Linked DNA regions of Saccharomyces cerevisiae S288C. Changing the gene in region 4 together with the main gene of any one other region gives a genetic interaction. Each region holds a gene or a part of one and is shown on either strand. Other genes may lie near its edges. The genes, in order: LDO16, MDM1, LDO45 and NVJ1.

The links.
Region 1: of NVJ1 (region 4) and LDO16, extra expression of one rescues a mutant of the other (dosage rescue), as found in Saccharomyces cerevisiae (one study listed by BioGRID).
Region 2: of NVJ1 (region 4) and MDM1, changing one enhances a phenotype caused by changing the other (phenotypic enhancement), as found in Saccharomyces cerevisiae (one study listed by BioGRID).
Region 3: of NVJ1 (region 4) and LDO45, extra expression of one rescues a mutant of the other (dosage rescue), as found in Saccharomyces cerevisiae (one study listed by BioGRID).

What each region holds. Positions count from the first base shown.
Region 1 is NC_001145.3:558,804-561,312, reverse strand, and holds LDO16 (Ldo16p), read right to left. Parts: upstream 948-2,509; coding exon 501-947; downstream 1-500. Other genes in the region: SWP1 (dolichyl-diphosphooligosaccharide-protein glycotransferase), read right to left, coding at 1-317; LDO45 (Ldo45p), read right to left, coding at 501-1,157, 1,533-2,114. UniProt on the Saccharomyces cerevisiae protein: Involved in lipid droplet (LD) organization. Functions primarily upon nutrient depletion, facilitating LD consumption by lipophagy.
Region 2 is NC_001145.3:58,432-64,295, forward strand, and holds MDM1 (Mdm1p), read right to left. Parts: upstream 3,892-5,864; coding exon 508-3,891; downstream 1-507. Other genes in the region: RNA-binding signal recognition particle subunit SEC65, read right to left, coding at 1-256; NUP188 (Nup188p), read right to left, coding at 4,151-5,864. UniProt on the Saccharomyces cerevisiae protein: Essential for mitotic growth. Mediates organelle inheritance.
Region 3 is NC_001145.3:557,247-561,312, reverse strand, and holds LDO45 (Ldo45p), read right to left. Parts: upstream 2,115-4,066; coding exon 1,533-2,114; intron 1,158-1,532; coding exon 501-1,157; downstream 1-500. Other genes in the region: SWP1 (dolichyl-diphosphooligosaccharide-protein glycotransferase), read right to left, coding at 1-317; LDO16 (Ldo16p), read right to left, coding at 501-947; TIF34 (translation initiation factor eIF3 subunit i), read left to right, coding at 2,789-3,832. UniProt on the Saccharomyces cerevisiae protein: Involved in lipid droplet (LD) organization. Modulates triglyceride (TAG) storage by reducing DGA1 LD localization. Promotes LD targeting of some proteins, including PDR16.
Region 4 is NC_001140.6:489,011-492,348, reverse strand, and holds NVJ1 (Nvj1p), read right to left. Parts: upstream 1,603-3,338; coding exon 637-1,602; downstream 1-636. Other genes in the region: UTP9 (Utp9p), read right to left, coding at 1-418; MDM31 (Mdm31p), read right to left, coding at 1,953-3,338. UniProt on the Saccharomyces cerevisiae protein: Involved in the formation of nucleus-vacuole junctions (NVJs) during piecemeal microautophagy of the nucleus (PMN). NVJs are interorganelle interfaces mediated by NVJ1 in the nuclear envelope and VAC8 on the vacuole membrane.

The DNA.
Region 1 (2,509 bases), on a different chromosome or scaffold from region 4:
AACTTGCCATTGTCCTTAATTTCGGGTTCAAAAGCCATTTCTAGGTTCTTATTAGGTAAGCCTATCAATAAGGTGTTCTGGAAGGGTTTGTTGGTAGACTCAATGGCGAAATTTACTTGAATCACCTCGTTAGGGTCTTCAACTGTGATTGTAGTCGGAACAGTTTCATCGATTCCTATTCTGGGTTCAACTTTACCGATCATTACCCTAGACTTTCCTGCGGTGGAGGGGAATGATACATGAACATCTTGTGCCACGTAAGCGAGGACGAACGATATGCACGACACCAAGGCCGCAAGTGTTTTGAAGAATTGCATCTGCTCCGTTTCTTTTATGGTCTATGCGTTATAGGCCGCAATATTAGAAGATCGGTAAAGCTAAGATATATGCGTATGTATATACTAAAGGCCCATATGTAATAAAAAACTGAGTGTAATTTATAAGGATATTATTATTATTGACCTGCTAAACTTGCGAAAAATGTTTTTTTATTGCCGAGGTTAAGAGAGCTGGAACTTATTACCCGCTTTATTAGCAGTAGTCTCTAATGAACGGGCAATGGCGCTTTGAGCACTAACAGGTTCGAAAATAACATCTTCTTCGGTGACGAATTTAGAAGGGCGCGCCGTTTGTCTTAATGGGCTTGGAATAGTTGGATTAGATACTGGCCTTAATGTGGAAAGTGGCTCCTGTGGTTCCTGTAGTTGTGCCGGCTGTGTTTGTAGGGCCATTTTGTCGAGGACTTTTTTCAAGAAGGCGTCAGCTCGGACATAAATGAGTTGGGCCATTTTGAAACTCATGTTGCTGCAGAAGCCAAATGATACCACGCCAATGGCAAACACAAAGGAAATGCCCAATAAGGGTATTATGAATAATGAGGAGAAGAAACCTATCACTACGAAAAGGGTTAAGTAAACAAAAAAGAAAAATGTAGCGGTAGAAACCATTATCAAAAAAAGTAGGGAACACGGAATAACAAGTCCAATGGCAAAGGAGACTTTGAACGCTGTCAGGTAAGGCTTTTCTTGGAAACAAAAGTAGATATTCTTGACTGCTTGCTGAACTTTCTGACTGGATTTTTCACGAAGTGCACGGAAATGACTCTTTGATAGGGAAATCCTAATAATAATGCTATCTTGTTGTCCAAAAGTATTGCTTCAAAAATAGGTGATTATGAAATATCAAAACCAGCTCCGAATCTGCATGTCAGCAAACAAGCATAGAAAAAATATCAGAATCCTGCAAGTACATGGTGTCTCTCTCATGATTGTGGTAGCCTTTATCCTTAAAAAATAATTAACCCGCTTGGTTCAACGGGTCAAAAAAAAAAAAGCGAACAAAAAAGTGAGTAGAATTGATTAGCCGCGCTAAGGTCGAGGATCATTGGAAAAGACAGCCTTTTAAATGCAGATCTGATTTTTTTTCTATACTGTGCCTGTTCATTAGTGGAGGTGGTTGATATTGTAAGTAAAAATACGTGTTAGTAATTGGGCAATTTCGTTATGGCGCGAGAAGCTACGACAGACATACCTCACATAGTCACCCACATTGGGGAACCAGTAGTTTAAATAAATAAAAATAATCCAAAATACTTCGTACAAGCTATTTTGTAGAGCATTTAATTTTTCTACTGTTTGCAGACTGAAGTTGTAGAAAACCTGTTTGCATTTTTCAACGAAGGATTGAAAATAGGCGGACAAAGAAGAAGCTGATGGCGAAGGCGGTTTAATAGGATAGTGACGCGATTCTTTCTCGTTTTCGTCCTCCTGTATTGCAGCACTTGTGAAGGCATAGCTTAGGAGCAGCTTTTGAACTTCAGCCTCAGTAATAGGCCCCGAGCTTTTTGTCATGGACTTAAATTTTATCGATAATTCGTCTTCGCCATCATCATGTTCGTCTATTGGCTCTAATTTTTGCTGGTGCTTGAATTCTTTCGCTGGTATAGGATTCTCGTGGTTTTCCGTTAAAGGTGTTTCAGTACCCATGTTTAGATCGATTGTTTTTTTATGTAATTCCTCTGCAACGAGCACATACGTCGCATTCTTTTCTTGAGCGGCACTCGTTACCAAAAGGGACTTTTTCTTGTTATTCTTTCTACGATTCCTGGCTGCCATCGGAGTATTGGATGTTTTTCAGATGTCACTTTTTATTTTAATCGTCTTGAAAGTACAGATGAATACCAGTTTTGTGAGTAGTCAGATTTTCTTTTTTTTTTATCCATCGTAGCCCGATCTTGGTTCTTTTGTTTTTCTTTTTTTTTTTTTACATATATACATATTACCCATACAGGAGATATCTCCAACATATTTATTAATAAAGAGAAGATTGTGGAAGGGTTGAAAAACTCGCTTGAGCTGATAAAACCCTACACTACGGTGTAATTGATTGAGATGAGAAACCTTATTCAGCGGGTCTCTGTTGTGTTGTCTTATCCTCTGAATTTTCGCGCAAGAAGTACTTTTTCATCACAACTATGGTTATAGACTCAAGCTCATTAACACGCACTTGT
Region 2 (5,864 bases), on a different chromosome or scaffold from region 4:
CCTCCGAACGTTCAACCTTACCAGTTTTTGGGTTAATAAAACTCAACTGCTCTTTTTCGTTGCTACTATTGTTGTTGCTATTACTGTTGTTATTCGTGCCAGGTAAAAATGCAGGGTTCTCTTGGTCCTGGCTCCTTACAACCTTAGGCGTTATCTTGGGAGCGATCGGCGTCCTCAAAGATGGATCTAACTCGGCCAATTCCATATCAAGGTCGTCGATATCATTGAAATCGTCAATCTCTTCTAATCTAGGCATTTTGACTTTATGATACTATAGCTTATGGCTTATTTTATTTCTTTTGATTTCGTTAGTTGCTAGCCTGTTGAATATCATTGATATTTTTTTTTTTTTCAGATTACAAAAGCGTGAAAAATAAATACTTCCCAATTGTTTTAAGAAGAAGTACACAATTTTTAAAGCGGCTGAAGAAGTGTACCAATTTATTTGCTATTGTGACAATTACACTTTTTTTTTTAGATTGTTCGGTACTTAGTCAAGTTTTATTTTCAGTCATTACATATTATGTCCAATAAAATTGCATCAAGAGCTTCCAACAGTAAGCTGGCATTTAAATACGGATTCTGTAGCATGGCATGGACCCGGCCAGCAGCTTCATGAGAATCTCTTAGACCAACTACACGACCACAAGTGTCTGCGAAGAGTCTTTGCAAACTGGTTAAAGCGAGTTGTTCCGTCCGTAACCTTTCACCTTCGCTTCTTGTTGCCTCTGCCGTTTCATTTCTTTTTCTTTCGAACAGACCGTTATCACCCCATAGCATATTCTTGAATGTAACTATTGCTTCAAATACTTGATCCTCTGATCTCAATTTTTGAATGCTGACCTTTATATACTTTTCAATAGTGCTCCCAAGAAGCTGTTGTAAAACGGTAATTATAGCCCTTCCTCTTAACCAACCCGCGTTGGCCTTATTTAAAGCAAAGAGCGAAATAAATAAGTCACATATCTGTTTAACAAAAGATTTATTTTGCGAATAAAAAGGATAGCCAGAATCGGTGAAAAAATGTCTTTCATCTTCATAGAAATTCAATTCACCGCCGTCTTCAGAGCTTTGTAAATCAACAACAGAACTGCTATTACTTGTGCTATTACTACTACCAATAGGTTCATGAAGTGGCTCCTCCAGAATATCATCATGCATATATTCCTTGTTCAGTTTGAATGGGGTAGGATCTGTCAAAAATCTTCTGAAAATGTTATCTTCGCATATTTCAGAAATAGATAATAGTTCTCGCAAGTACTTTTCAAGTTTTTGCTTTCGTTCCTCATAAAGCAATGTTTTTGTAACATGATATTTCAATGACATTTTCACTTTTGACGGGAACAAATCTTGCAACTGCCTCATCAGATCCCTAAAATTCTTTTTCAAATATGTATTTAATTCAAAAAATTCATTATATCTCCTTGCCATATCCCAAGAACTTACCTGCCCATTGTTAAAATGATGGATATTGATGATATAATAAGTTATTTCTTTTAGGCCATTACTAGAATTCTCACTGAAGTACGACCTAATGTATATCTTAGTTTTTCTGAACAAACTATTACCATTTTCTTGTACCATATATTGCTGTTTCAACAGTTCCTTCATTTCTAGTTCCTTTAATAGGGTTCTTTGTGACTTTTTTAAAATTTTCAACTGCATTTGATTGTTGGTCAGATCTGCCTTCAAAATCAAATGCCTTAAAAGTTCAAGCTCTTTCTCAATCTGATCAATTGAAATAGTCAAGGATGCTATATTATCCCTAAAGTTGTTTGACCCATAAAATTGGCTAGGATTTAGGCCTGAATTCCCGCTGGAAACACTTACTTTCTCCATATTACGTGGGTGATCCAACTGATCCTCGACAACAGAAATTTCTGAGGTATTATCGTTTTCATCGTCGAAGAGTTTATCTTTGAAAATGTTGTCATTTTCTGAACCAAAGAGCTGAGAATAACGGGGATTTGAGCTTATTCTTGATTTATGCGGCTTGGATCCCGATCCATTCACTATATTATCTAAAGCATCTGTGATGCCGGGGTTTGCGAATATTCTGACAGGATTCATAAAATCAGTCTTCACATTATCTTTTATTATTTTGTTTTGTTCTGGATTGTTAACACCACCGATTCTACTCAGAAAGTGAGCATATATATCAGTCGAAATGATGTGGGACGTTGAAAGCATTTTGAGAAATGAAGGTGTTTTCTTGAAAAGAGGTAAAAATCTATCATCGAGATACTTTATAGCCTCTGTCTGTAGTAGTAAAACGCTTTTCCGAGCTAGGATAAATGTGTCTTCATCGTTGTTGATTTGAAATGAATTTCTGAAAAGTATTATATTTTTCACTAAACCTTCATCCAGCAATTTCATATTTTGCAAGTTATTGTTATGAAAAAACTTTGAAGAAATCTCTTGCAGTTGCATTGTGCTAATTCCTGAATAACCAGAAATTATATCTTCAGATGTAGCATCTTCCAAGGGATTTTTGAATGATTCAATTGTTTGCGAATACTCTAAAAATGTTGAACCCTGTGTTTCAGGAACACTGCCTAAAAATGATTCAAAAAAAGGAAGAAACTCGCTATCGTCTACAATGTCCTTCAATGTGATGGAGGTAAGAAATGAAGCCATTTCCTTCAATACTATTCCATTATCCATATTTAAATCGGGATAATTAGCCTCTCTTGCAAGCTTTTTGCTTGCCGTATCAATTTCCGAGCCAGGGAACGATAACTTTGATTCAATCAAATTTAAGGAAAGCAGTAATCGTTTCTTATACTTCAAATTTTCCTTGGTCAAATGTTCATTTTCTTTCAATTGGTATATTTTGAGGGCCAATGAATACGCAACATATTTGATATCACTTAAATCCAACAAGGAGTCCAACTGGTTGAGATAATGCTCGAATTGTTTTCCAGTATATTCAGCATTAAGCTCCAATTTTTCACTTGAGGGTTCTCCAACATCTTTGTTCGCTACGTCATTCATCACTTTTCTATGATCTTGTAACTCTTTACTCAACATTCTTCTTATCTTGTGAACTTTGTGCTTTTCCTCGAAATAATTTTGTGAAAGGCTTACAATTCTTAAATTCCAACTATCTGGATCAGTAAATTTGAAAATTAATGGAGAAATAATGCACGTAGTGAGAACTTCCGTCATTAATGTGAAAACAAGCAATGAATCTAACTCATCATTATCAAAAAGGTGAGGAAGGAGCCCGATTACAGTTTTCCTTATGGATTTTTCAATTTCTTTCTGAAGAGCATTCGGCTTCAATGATAATGATTTATGTATTTTGTAATTTTTATTAAACTCAACGGCAATTTGTAGATCGATGTTGGCTGATTTATGCCTTTCAAGAGTCAAATCGCTTAGCACAGCTTCTCTGGCATCACAAAAAGTGCTGAAATGTTTGTTAAATATAGGCAACAGCTTCAGAACAATCAAGCTGGCACTATCATTCTTCATCAACTTGTCCTTCACCACTAGGAGCGTTTGTAATAATCTCCACTTTATTACTTTGAGGAACTCTGCGTCACTATTCTTATCGATTTTTGTGAACCAAGGCTGAACAAAATCTTTAATAATTAAATTAACAATACTCTCTAATTCTTTCCCAATTTGCGCGTTCCCATCTTGTATTAAACCCTCGACAGACTTCAATTCTTTATCAACATCCACAGTATTCGAACTTTCCGGTACGATATCAACAAATCTTGGCTGAGGTTTCGGTAAATCAGGCAAGGATTTGAAGAATACGAAGTACGCAAAGATGCAGACATTAAGAAAGAACCCCAGCGAAAAAGTGATTACCGACCATTGTATCATTGATATTAAGTAAAACAAAACTAAAATCAATCGAAACTGTGGAAACTTAGGCATACGATATCATATCAGAAGGCACAAACACGCGCACTTATGGCGCTTTCAAAGCATGAGAGTCTTCGGTTAATTTACTTATCTTATTGTTTACATATTTTTGAAGTTCGTAAGGCGATGAAAAAAAAAAGTACACAATGGATAGAACTGGGATGGAAAAAGCTCATACAGTCGCAGTCCGCAGTATAGCAACAAAGGGCCACCCTTGCACTTGCACTGTTCATTATTATATTATGTAGCTTTACATAACCTGCAAAATAAGTTAAACGTCCTTAAATAGTGAATCTTGTAATGCTTTAATGTCTCTGCTGATACCCTTGACGAACTCCAATCTGCTTGATTCATCCTCCAACTGCTGTTGCTCTTCTAAAGTTGTAGGTATTATTCTTGAATTCAAGTATTTTGGATGTGTTAGAAACTTGCTTAATGCAGCGCTTAACCTTTTTTTATCATGTTCAGAATCTAGACCAATAACCAATTCTACAGCTTCTTGTTGATCATCAGAGTTTTTAGGCTGAATAAACAATTCTTGGTAATTTAGCAAGTTTAGCATTTTTTGCAATAAAACCAATTGATTCGTTTCCTTTATCAACGAACTTGACACTGCTAACTTGTTGTCACCCCAGTTATATATTGTAGATTTTATTTGTTTTCCAAAATATGAAACAAATAGGCACGTCTCAGGTAAAACCTTGATACCGAACTGACTTAATAGTAGTAGAACAATGGATAACAAACCATTGCTCCAAATGTTGTGCAATCTAGGCGAAAATTCAGGTTTTATATCACCTTGCTGTATTGCAACAGATAGTGGACTTTCCAATAGAACGCTATACAATCCACTGTTGATGAGTTTTGCAGCAATTGGCTCAATAGAACACAATTCGGAGATAAAGGTCAGAGTAATTTGCCCAAGAATTGGTTCATCGTTAATCCTTATCAAATGCGCGCTTGAATATAGGTTCAGTATAACTTTCAAAGTTCCTACTTCGTTTAGGGATGATGCTAGAATAACATTGAAGTTTTTAGAGGGATTCACATTGGTGATCTTCTTGAAGAGTGATAATAATAACAATAAATCCTGAGTATTATCCTCCAAGTTGACAATTTGGGTGGTGTGATCGGTGCTTAAACCCCTCGTGGAGCATTTATTGATCTGACATAATATCTCAGACAGTATCAAATAAACACCCTTACTAAACACTAATTCAAAAAATTCCAGTAGTTGATCAGATATTAATTCGATAAAACGATCTCCTGACGAGACTAACTCGAGAAGAACTAAGACAGATCTCAAAAGAGGTCTATAAAAGTTATTTTTTAGTGACTTACCAATATTTTTAATAAAGTCAATCTCACCAGATTTGAAAATTGTAAAAATCTTGTTCATCAATTCAATTATCTTTTCTTCCTTCAACAATTTTCCCGACAACTTGAACGAATATAAAATGTAAAACGACAACTCAATTCTTTCCAGATATATTTGGGTAAACATTTGTTTATCTGAACCAAAATCAATATTTAACTTGAGGAAATGCTCTACCAAGTCGACAAAACCATCATTTAACGGAACAGTGCTCCTCTTCACAAACGTGGTGATTAGTGCGCCCCATGCTTTTGCGGTAGATATTTCGTAATTGACATACTGCAAATTTAATGAAGCGTCTGTTATTTCCTCCTTAAAATTTGTCTGACTCTTACTTGGTTCGTTCCAACTACGGTCAGCTTTTAAAACTATATCTAATAACGGAATATCATAACCGAAATTCTCATTTTCGTTTATTCTGGATAATGGAATTTTTTGGAACGACTGAAGCTCTAAACTGGGCCATTTCTCTTTAAATTTTAAGTTTAATTCATCATGAAAAGTTTTATTGAACCCATCAATTTGGAAGAAATGATGAACTAATTCAAACAAGTCTTCCTGATTCAAAAAATTTAAAATTTCCGAGTTTGAATCAGTGGAGTTGTAAATA
Region 3 (4,066 bases), on a different chromosome or scaffold from region 4:
AACTTGCCATTGTCCTTAATTTCGGGTTCAAAAGCCATTTCTAGGTTCTTATTAGGTAAGCCTATCAATAAGGTGTTCTGGAAGGGTTTGTTGGTAGACTCAATGGCGAAATTTACTTGAATCACCTCGTTAGGGTCTTCAACTGTGATTGTAGTCGGAACAGTTTCATCGATTCCTATTCTGGGTTCAACTTTACCGATCATTACCCTAGACTTTCCTGCGGTGGAGGGGAATGATACATGAACATCTTGTGCCACGTAAGCGAGGACGAACGATATGCACGACACCAAGGCCGCAAGTGTTTTGAAGAATTGCATCTGCTCCGTTTCTTTTATGGTCTATGCGTTATAGGCCGCAATATTAGAAGATCGGTAAAGCTAAGATATATGCGTATGTATATACTAAAGGCCCATATGTAATAAAAAACTGAGTGTAATTTATAAGGATATTATTATTATTGACCTGCTAAACTTGCGAAAAATGTTTTTTTATTGCCGAGGTTAAGAGAGCTGGAACTTATTACCCGCTTTATTAGCAGTAGTCTCTAATGAACGGGCAATGGCGCTTTGAGCACTAACAGGTTCGAAAATAACATCTTCTTCGGTGACGAATTTAGAAGGGCGCGCCGTTTGTCTTAATGGGCTTGGAATAGTTGGATTAGATACTGGCCTTAATGTGGAAAGTGGCTCCTGTGGTTCCTGTAGTTGTGCCGGCTGTGTTTGTAGGGCCATTTTGTCGAGGACTTTTTTCAAGAAGGCGTCAGCTCGGACATAAATGAGTTGGGCCATTTTGAAACTCATGTTGCTGCAGAAGCCAAATGATACCACGCCAATGGCAAACACAAAGGAAATGCCCAATAAGGGTATTATGAATAATGAGGAGAAGAAACCTATCACTACGAAAAGGGTTAAGTAAACAAAAAAGAAAAATGTAGCGGTAGAAACCATTATCAAAAAAAGTAGGGAACACGGAATAACAAGTCCAATGGCAAAGGAGACTTTGAACGCTGTCAGGTAAGGCTTTTCTTGGAAACAAAAGTAGATATTCTTGACTGCTTGCTGAACTTTCTGACTGGATTTTTCACGAAGTGCACGGAAATGACTCTTTGATAGGGAAATCCTAATAATAATGCTATCTTGTTGTCCAAAAGTATTGCTTCAAAAATAGGTGATTATGAAATATCAAAACCAGCTCCGAATCTGCATGTCAGCAAACAAGCATAGAAAAAATATCAGAATCCTGCAAGTACATGGTGTCTCTCTCATGATTGTGGTAGCCTTTATCCTTAAAAAATAATTAACCCGCTTGGTTCAACGGGTCAAAAAAAAAAAAGCGAACAAAAAAGTGAGTAGAATTGATTAGCCGCGCTAAGGTCGAGGATCATTGGAAAAGACAGCCTTTTAAATGCAGATCTGATTTTTTTTCTATACTGTGCCTGTTCATTAGTGGAGGTGGTTGATATTGTAAGTAAAAATACGTGTTAGTAATTGGGCAATTTCGTTATGGCGCGAGAAGCTACGACAGACATACCTCACATAGTCACCCACATTGGGGAACCAGTAGTTTAAATAAATAAAAATAATCCAAAATACTTCGTACAAGCTATTTTGTAGAGCATTTAATTTTTCTACTGTTTGCAGACTGAAGTTGTAGAAAACCTGTTTGCATTTTTCAACGAAGGATTGAAAATAGGCGGACAAAGAAGAAGCTGATGGCGAAGGCGGTTTAATAGGATAGTGACGCGATTCTTTCTCGTTTTCGTCCTCCTGTATTGCAGCACTTGTGAAGGCATAGCTTAGGAGCAGCTTTTGAACTTCAGCCTCAGTAATAGGCCCCGAGCTTTTTGTCATGGACTTAAATTTTATCGATAATTCGTCTTCGCCATCATCATGTTCGTCTATTGGCTCTAATTTTTGCTGGTGCTTGAATTCTTTCGCTGGTATAGGATTCTCGTGGTTTTCCGTTAAAGGTGTTTCAGTACCCATGTTTAGATCGATTGTTTTTTTATGTAATTCCTCTGCAACGAGCACATACGTCGCATTCTTTTCTTGAGCGGCACTCGTTACCAAAAGGGACTTTTTCTTGTTATTCTTTCTACGATTCCTGGCTGCCATCGGAGTATTGGATGTTTTTCAGATGTCACTTTTTATTTTAATCGTCTTGAAAGTACAGATGAATACCAGTTTTGTGAGTAGTCAGATTTTCTTTTTTTTTTATCCATCGTAGCCCGATCTTGGTTCTTTTGTTTTTCTTTTTTTTTTTTTACATATATACATATTACCCATACAGGAGATATCTCCAACATATTTATTAATAAAGAGAAGATTGTGGAAGGGTTGAAAAACTCGCTTGAGCTGATAAAACCCTACACTACGGTGTAATTGATTGAGATGAGAAACCTTATTCAGCGGGTCTCTGTTGTGTTGTCTTATCCTCTGAATTTTCGCGCAAGAAGTACTTTTTCATCACAACTATGGTTATAGACTCAAGCTCATTAACACGCACTTGTAGGTAGATTCCAGAGCATATTTCTTTGTAAATATAGTGGGGTTTCTGTATAGCCGCTGTTCGTATGAAATATATCAGTTACCCCGCGTGCCACCTTCAGTTTCGCATATTTTTTTTTTTTTGTGAAATTTTTTCCGGCCTCTGAAAAATTTCGAATAGTCGTAACTGAACAGAAAAATTTGCAGAAGAGTTACTGATGAACAAGAGGCGAGGTATATCTTAAGGTCGTTAGATAACTGGCCAGGAGAGAAGACAAAAAGAAATAGCACAGACAAGGAATATGAAGGCTATCAAATTAACAGGTCATGAACGTCCATTAACTCAAGTGAAGTACAACAAAGAAGGTGATTTACTATTTTCATGTTCGAAAGATAGCTCGGCCAGTGTTTGGTATTCGTTGAACGGTGAAAGATTAGGTACTTTGGATGGTCACACCGGTACCATTTGGTCTATCGACGTCGACTGTTTCACCAAGTACTGTGTTACAGGAAGTGCTGATTACAGTATCAAATTATGGGATGTGTCAAACGGGCAATGTGTTGCTACATGGAAATCGCCTGTCCCCGTTAAAAGAGTTGAATTTTCCCCATGCGGTAACTACTTTCTAGCTATCTTGGACAACGTCATGAAAAATCCAGGTTCCATTAACATATACGAAATTGAAAGAGATTCCGCCACTCACGAATTAACAAAGGTCTCCGAAGAGCCAATCCATAAAATTATCACTCATGAAGGTTTAGACGCTGCCACCGTGGCTGGATGGTCGACTAAGGGCAAATACATCATTGCAGGCCATAAAGACGGTAAGATCAGCAAATACGATGTGTCCAACAACTACGAATACGTGGATTCCATCGATTTGCACGAAAAGTCCATCAGTGACATGCAATTTTCTCCTGATTTAACATACTTTATTACATCATCCAGAGATACTAACTCGTTCTTGGTCGATGTATCGACTCTACAAGTTCTTAAGAAATACGAAACAGACTGTCCTCTAAACACCGCCGTAATCACCCCATTGAAGGAATTCATTATTCTTGGTGGTGGTCAAGAGGCCAAGGATGTCACCACCACCAGTGCCAACGAAGGTAAGTTTGAAGCTAGGTTCTACCACAAGATCTTCGAAGAAGAAATCGGCAGAGTACAAGGCCATTTTGGTCCCTTGAACACAGTTGCCATTAGCCCACAGGGCACAAGTTATGCCTCCGGTGGTGAAGATGGGTTCATACGTCTACACCATTTCGAAAAATCTTACTTTGATTTCAAATACGACGTGGAGAAGGCCGCCGAAGCTAAAGAGCACATGCAAGAAGCTAATTAATGTTAATTTTGATGCTGATGTTGATGTATAGTAAACATACATATATGCATATACGCACGTATATATATATAAGAATATGAAACCCAAACTGTGGATATTATTTCGTTTATTATGATCTCTCGCATATCTTGATACGAAGTGCAAGTCATTATAATATTTAGACTTTTCATTACGTTAATAGAGAGTCACTTTAACCACGAGGGGAAAAAACACATACCCCTCCCCTTCGAGGTA
Region 4 (3,338 bases):
CAGACTCGTCTGTGTCTGCTCCCAAAATCTCTTTTTTATTCTTGATGATATTAACTATATCCTTACCATTAGAAGAGTAAACAACAATTCTTCCGTCAGGAAATCCGTTAACGAAAAAGTTTTCACATCTTTGCTCACTTGATTCACCAGTTCCTTCATCTTCATCTAATTTTCTTTTGATATTGGATGACTGCGTATCTATCAAATCACTACACCACCCAAAGAAGATTACATCTGAAACCTTCATATCGTTTGTCTCATAGTCAATATGACTCACTAATGAACTATTGACCACATAATCCTTAGTTTCATTTAATGGATAAATATCCACATTGTTCTTTTGTGCGACGCTTGCTTGGAATGCAAAACGAGTGGAATCATGCGAGAAGCTCGCCACCAAATCCAAAGAGGAGCCCATTGTGCACTACGGTATGTATATACGTGGAGAATGCCCGGCGTTATATATTGCAACGGAGTACTAATATGTATTTCAACTACATAAAGTTACTTGAAAACTCCATCTCATCGTTAAATTTTTCAAAATTTTTCATGTTTTCTTCTCACCTTTAGAAGAAAAAAATTTTCGCACCTCGTTGTAAGTGACGATGATAACCGAGATGACGGAAATATAGTACATTAGTATCTAAATGGTTGAGAGTATGCTTGTTCAGTGTTCACTTGTGCATCTAGATTACTAGATTTTGTGGGAGATACTTGTATATGCAACAATGATGAAGGCTGGTTTAACGACTTAAGGTCTATCGAGCCCTTGAATGATATGGGGAATGATGTACTTGATTTAAGGGAAGAGGTTGTTCTGGTATCCCGTGAGAGAGAGTCAGGCTCTGCAGTACTTTCCTTTCGGCATTTACTCTGCGACTCAACTTCTGAACTGGAGCTGCAATCCTTTTCCCGGTTATTATCATCCTCACCGTCTGCTTCTCCATTCGGTTCATTTTTGTCTTCTTCCAATTGCTTTTCCAGGTGACAACCTAACAAATCTTCACTCCCTACTTGGTTTAGTGCATTTTCGCTCTTGCTTGTCAAATGGCTGTTACTGTGTTCCTCTTTGGAGGTAAACTCATGTTCCCCTTCCAAAACGTTCATGTCCTTATAGCTTAATATAATAGGTTCGGATCTATTTTTACCAAATTGCAATACTGCTCTTTCACCATCGTTGTAATGCTTCAGCCTCCTTTCGTTTTCAATAAGATCTACATTACAATCGTTATCCTTATCTTCTAGCGTGGTCTCGCGATCACCGTCCAGTACAGTCCACGCGATAGGTAGTAGAAAGGATAGGAGTAGTATAAGAACGTATATTCGTGTGTCCAATTCGCTGGATTGTCTGGAAATGAAATTAAATACTTTACGCCAGCTCAGTTCACCAGCGTCGGGTTGTTCCGCAGTTAAAGCCTCACGCTTATTATCTACCAAGTTTTTCAACCTATCTATAGTGAAAATTAACTCATAGTCCACTTTCTGGGGCTCTATCCATCCCTGTCTTTCCAAATGCTTACGAACTGTTTTTTCAACACCTTTCAAAACGGCTACAGAAAGACCTAACGAAAAGATTCCACGAACCAATGGGGGACGAGTCATGCTTATTATATTTTACAATTATATTTGTAGCTTTTTTGATATTATGCACACACGCAAACGCAACAGTTGTTGGTTCCAATTTTTGTTTGGTTTAATTCCTTCTCTTCCCACACACTCTCTCACTCACAAAAATCTGGACAGAAGAAGCCTCACCTTTTTGTTTTGCAGCTCCTCTTCCCCTTCTCTCCTTCATAAGGGGGTGGGTCCTGATATTTTTCGTCTATTTTTTTTCAAATAGGATTTTCCGCAGTGTAGAAAGAAGAAAGATGCGTCACAAATTAGATAAACTGATAGAAAGAACGATGCTATGTAAATGCATATGTACAGAAAGTGACAGGAGTAGGTATTCCTCACGCGATAGCACCGAGACTCATCAAAATCACCTGGAGTATAAGTTGCAGTGACCAAAAGCCCACCCTTCTCAAGCGTAATGTCCTCTTTTCATCGTCAGCGACGTAGTCGGCGAAGGCATCGTACGCTTCCGCACTTAGATCCCGCATAAGGTATGAATCATATATGGTCCAGGAGCCCTCAAAATCAGACTTTTTCTTTACAATGCGGCATTTGATTGGGATGTATGTCCTGTGAGAATTGATGTACCCGACAATAGGCCTTATCAATGCACTATTGATATACGTTAAGCCAGAAGTGAACAGAGGGACTTCGGCTTTGACATTGTATAGTCTTAAAGAAAAGTCCATAATAAAGTAGTCGTTCGGGTCAATTTCATCAACGGCCGGGGAGAATCCTGGCCCAACCAGAGGAAGGGATGAAGTGTACCTTTTCGCTTTTTTGATTAAGCGGTCACCGATCTCTGTGAGGATTTCTGTCAGTTGCAGCGAGTCAGACGCGGCATCGTCATCTGGTAAAAGAACGTCGCCAATCATGTTCACGCGACCTTCGTTGATCCATCCAAAGGGTCCTTCGATACCGGCGTTCAGGTGATCGATGTCGAGATTGTCTACCCTAAACCTTGTCATTTGCTTCCATAGCAGCGTGGGGTCCTGATGCTGATCATCGGTTCTGAACTTCTTGTGGATAGTGAACATTGAATTGTCGTAGGTCCCATTGATATTGTTCGCATTCAAGATATCGTAGAACAACCAATGTTTTCTCAATTGCGGTAGATCGCAATTAAATATACTCACCTGGAATGGCCTGAACCCATTTGGCTGGTACAGTGTACAAAGGACATCGTTCATGGTGAATTTTGATATTTCAAAGTCGCCCGGCTGGTAGACGTTCAGATAGTTCTTAGGATCGTCGTCCTTTTTCCACACCACGTGTGTTCTGTCTATGACTCCTCTAAGCCCATTTATGGTCACTTCGTCTAGGATACCCTTCCCATTTATCCACTTTCTGAAATTCAACGATATGTCGACTTGGTCAATGGTCAGATCAAACTGTGTATAATTGCCATTATCAAAGTCCTGTTGGTTAACCAATATTCTCTCACTAAGGGCCAACTTCGCCCTTTGCAGGGCATCCTGCTGTGAACCCTTGGTAAAGCCGCGCGAGACCTTTGGTCTCCTGGAGACGAAGACTTTTTGAAAGCTGATTTTCCCAGACGACCAGTCTGGTACAATGGCACTCTCGAAAACGATTGACAACGACTCATTCTTAGTAATAAATTTACCAATCTTGCTTGCGAGGTATTCTTGTGCAAACACGGTATTGATTAAGTAAAGGATCAAAGATACAAAGGTGGTTGTCCAGAAGATGAATATGAAAATGTT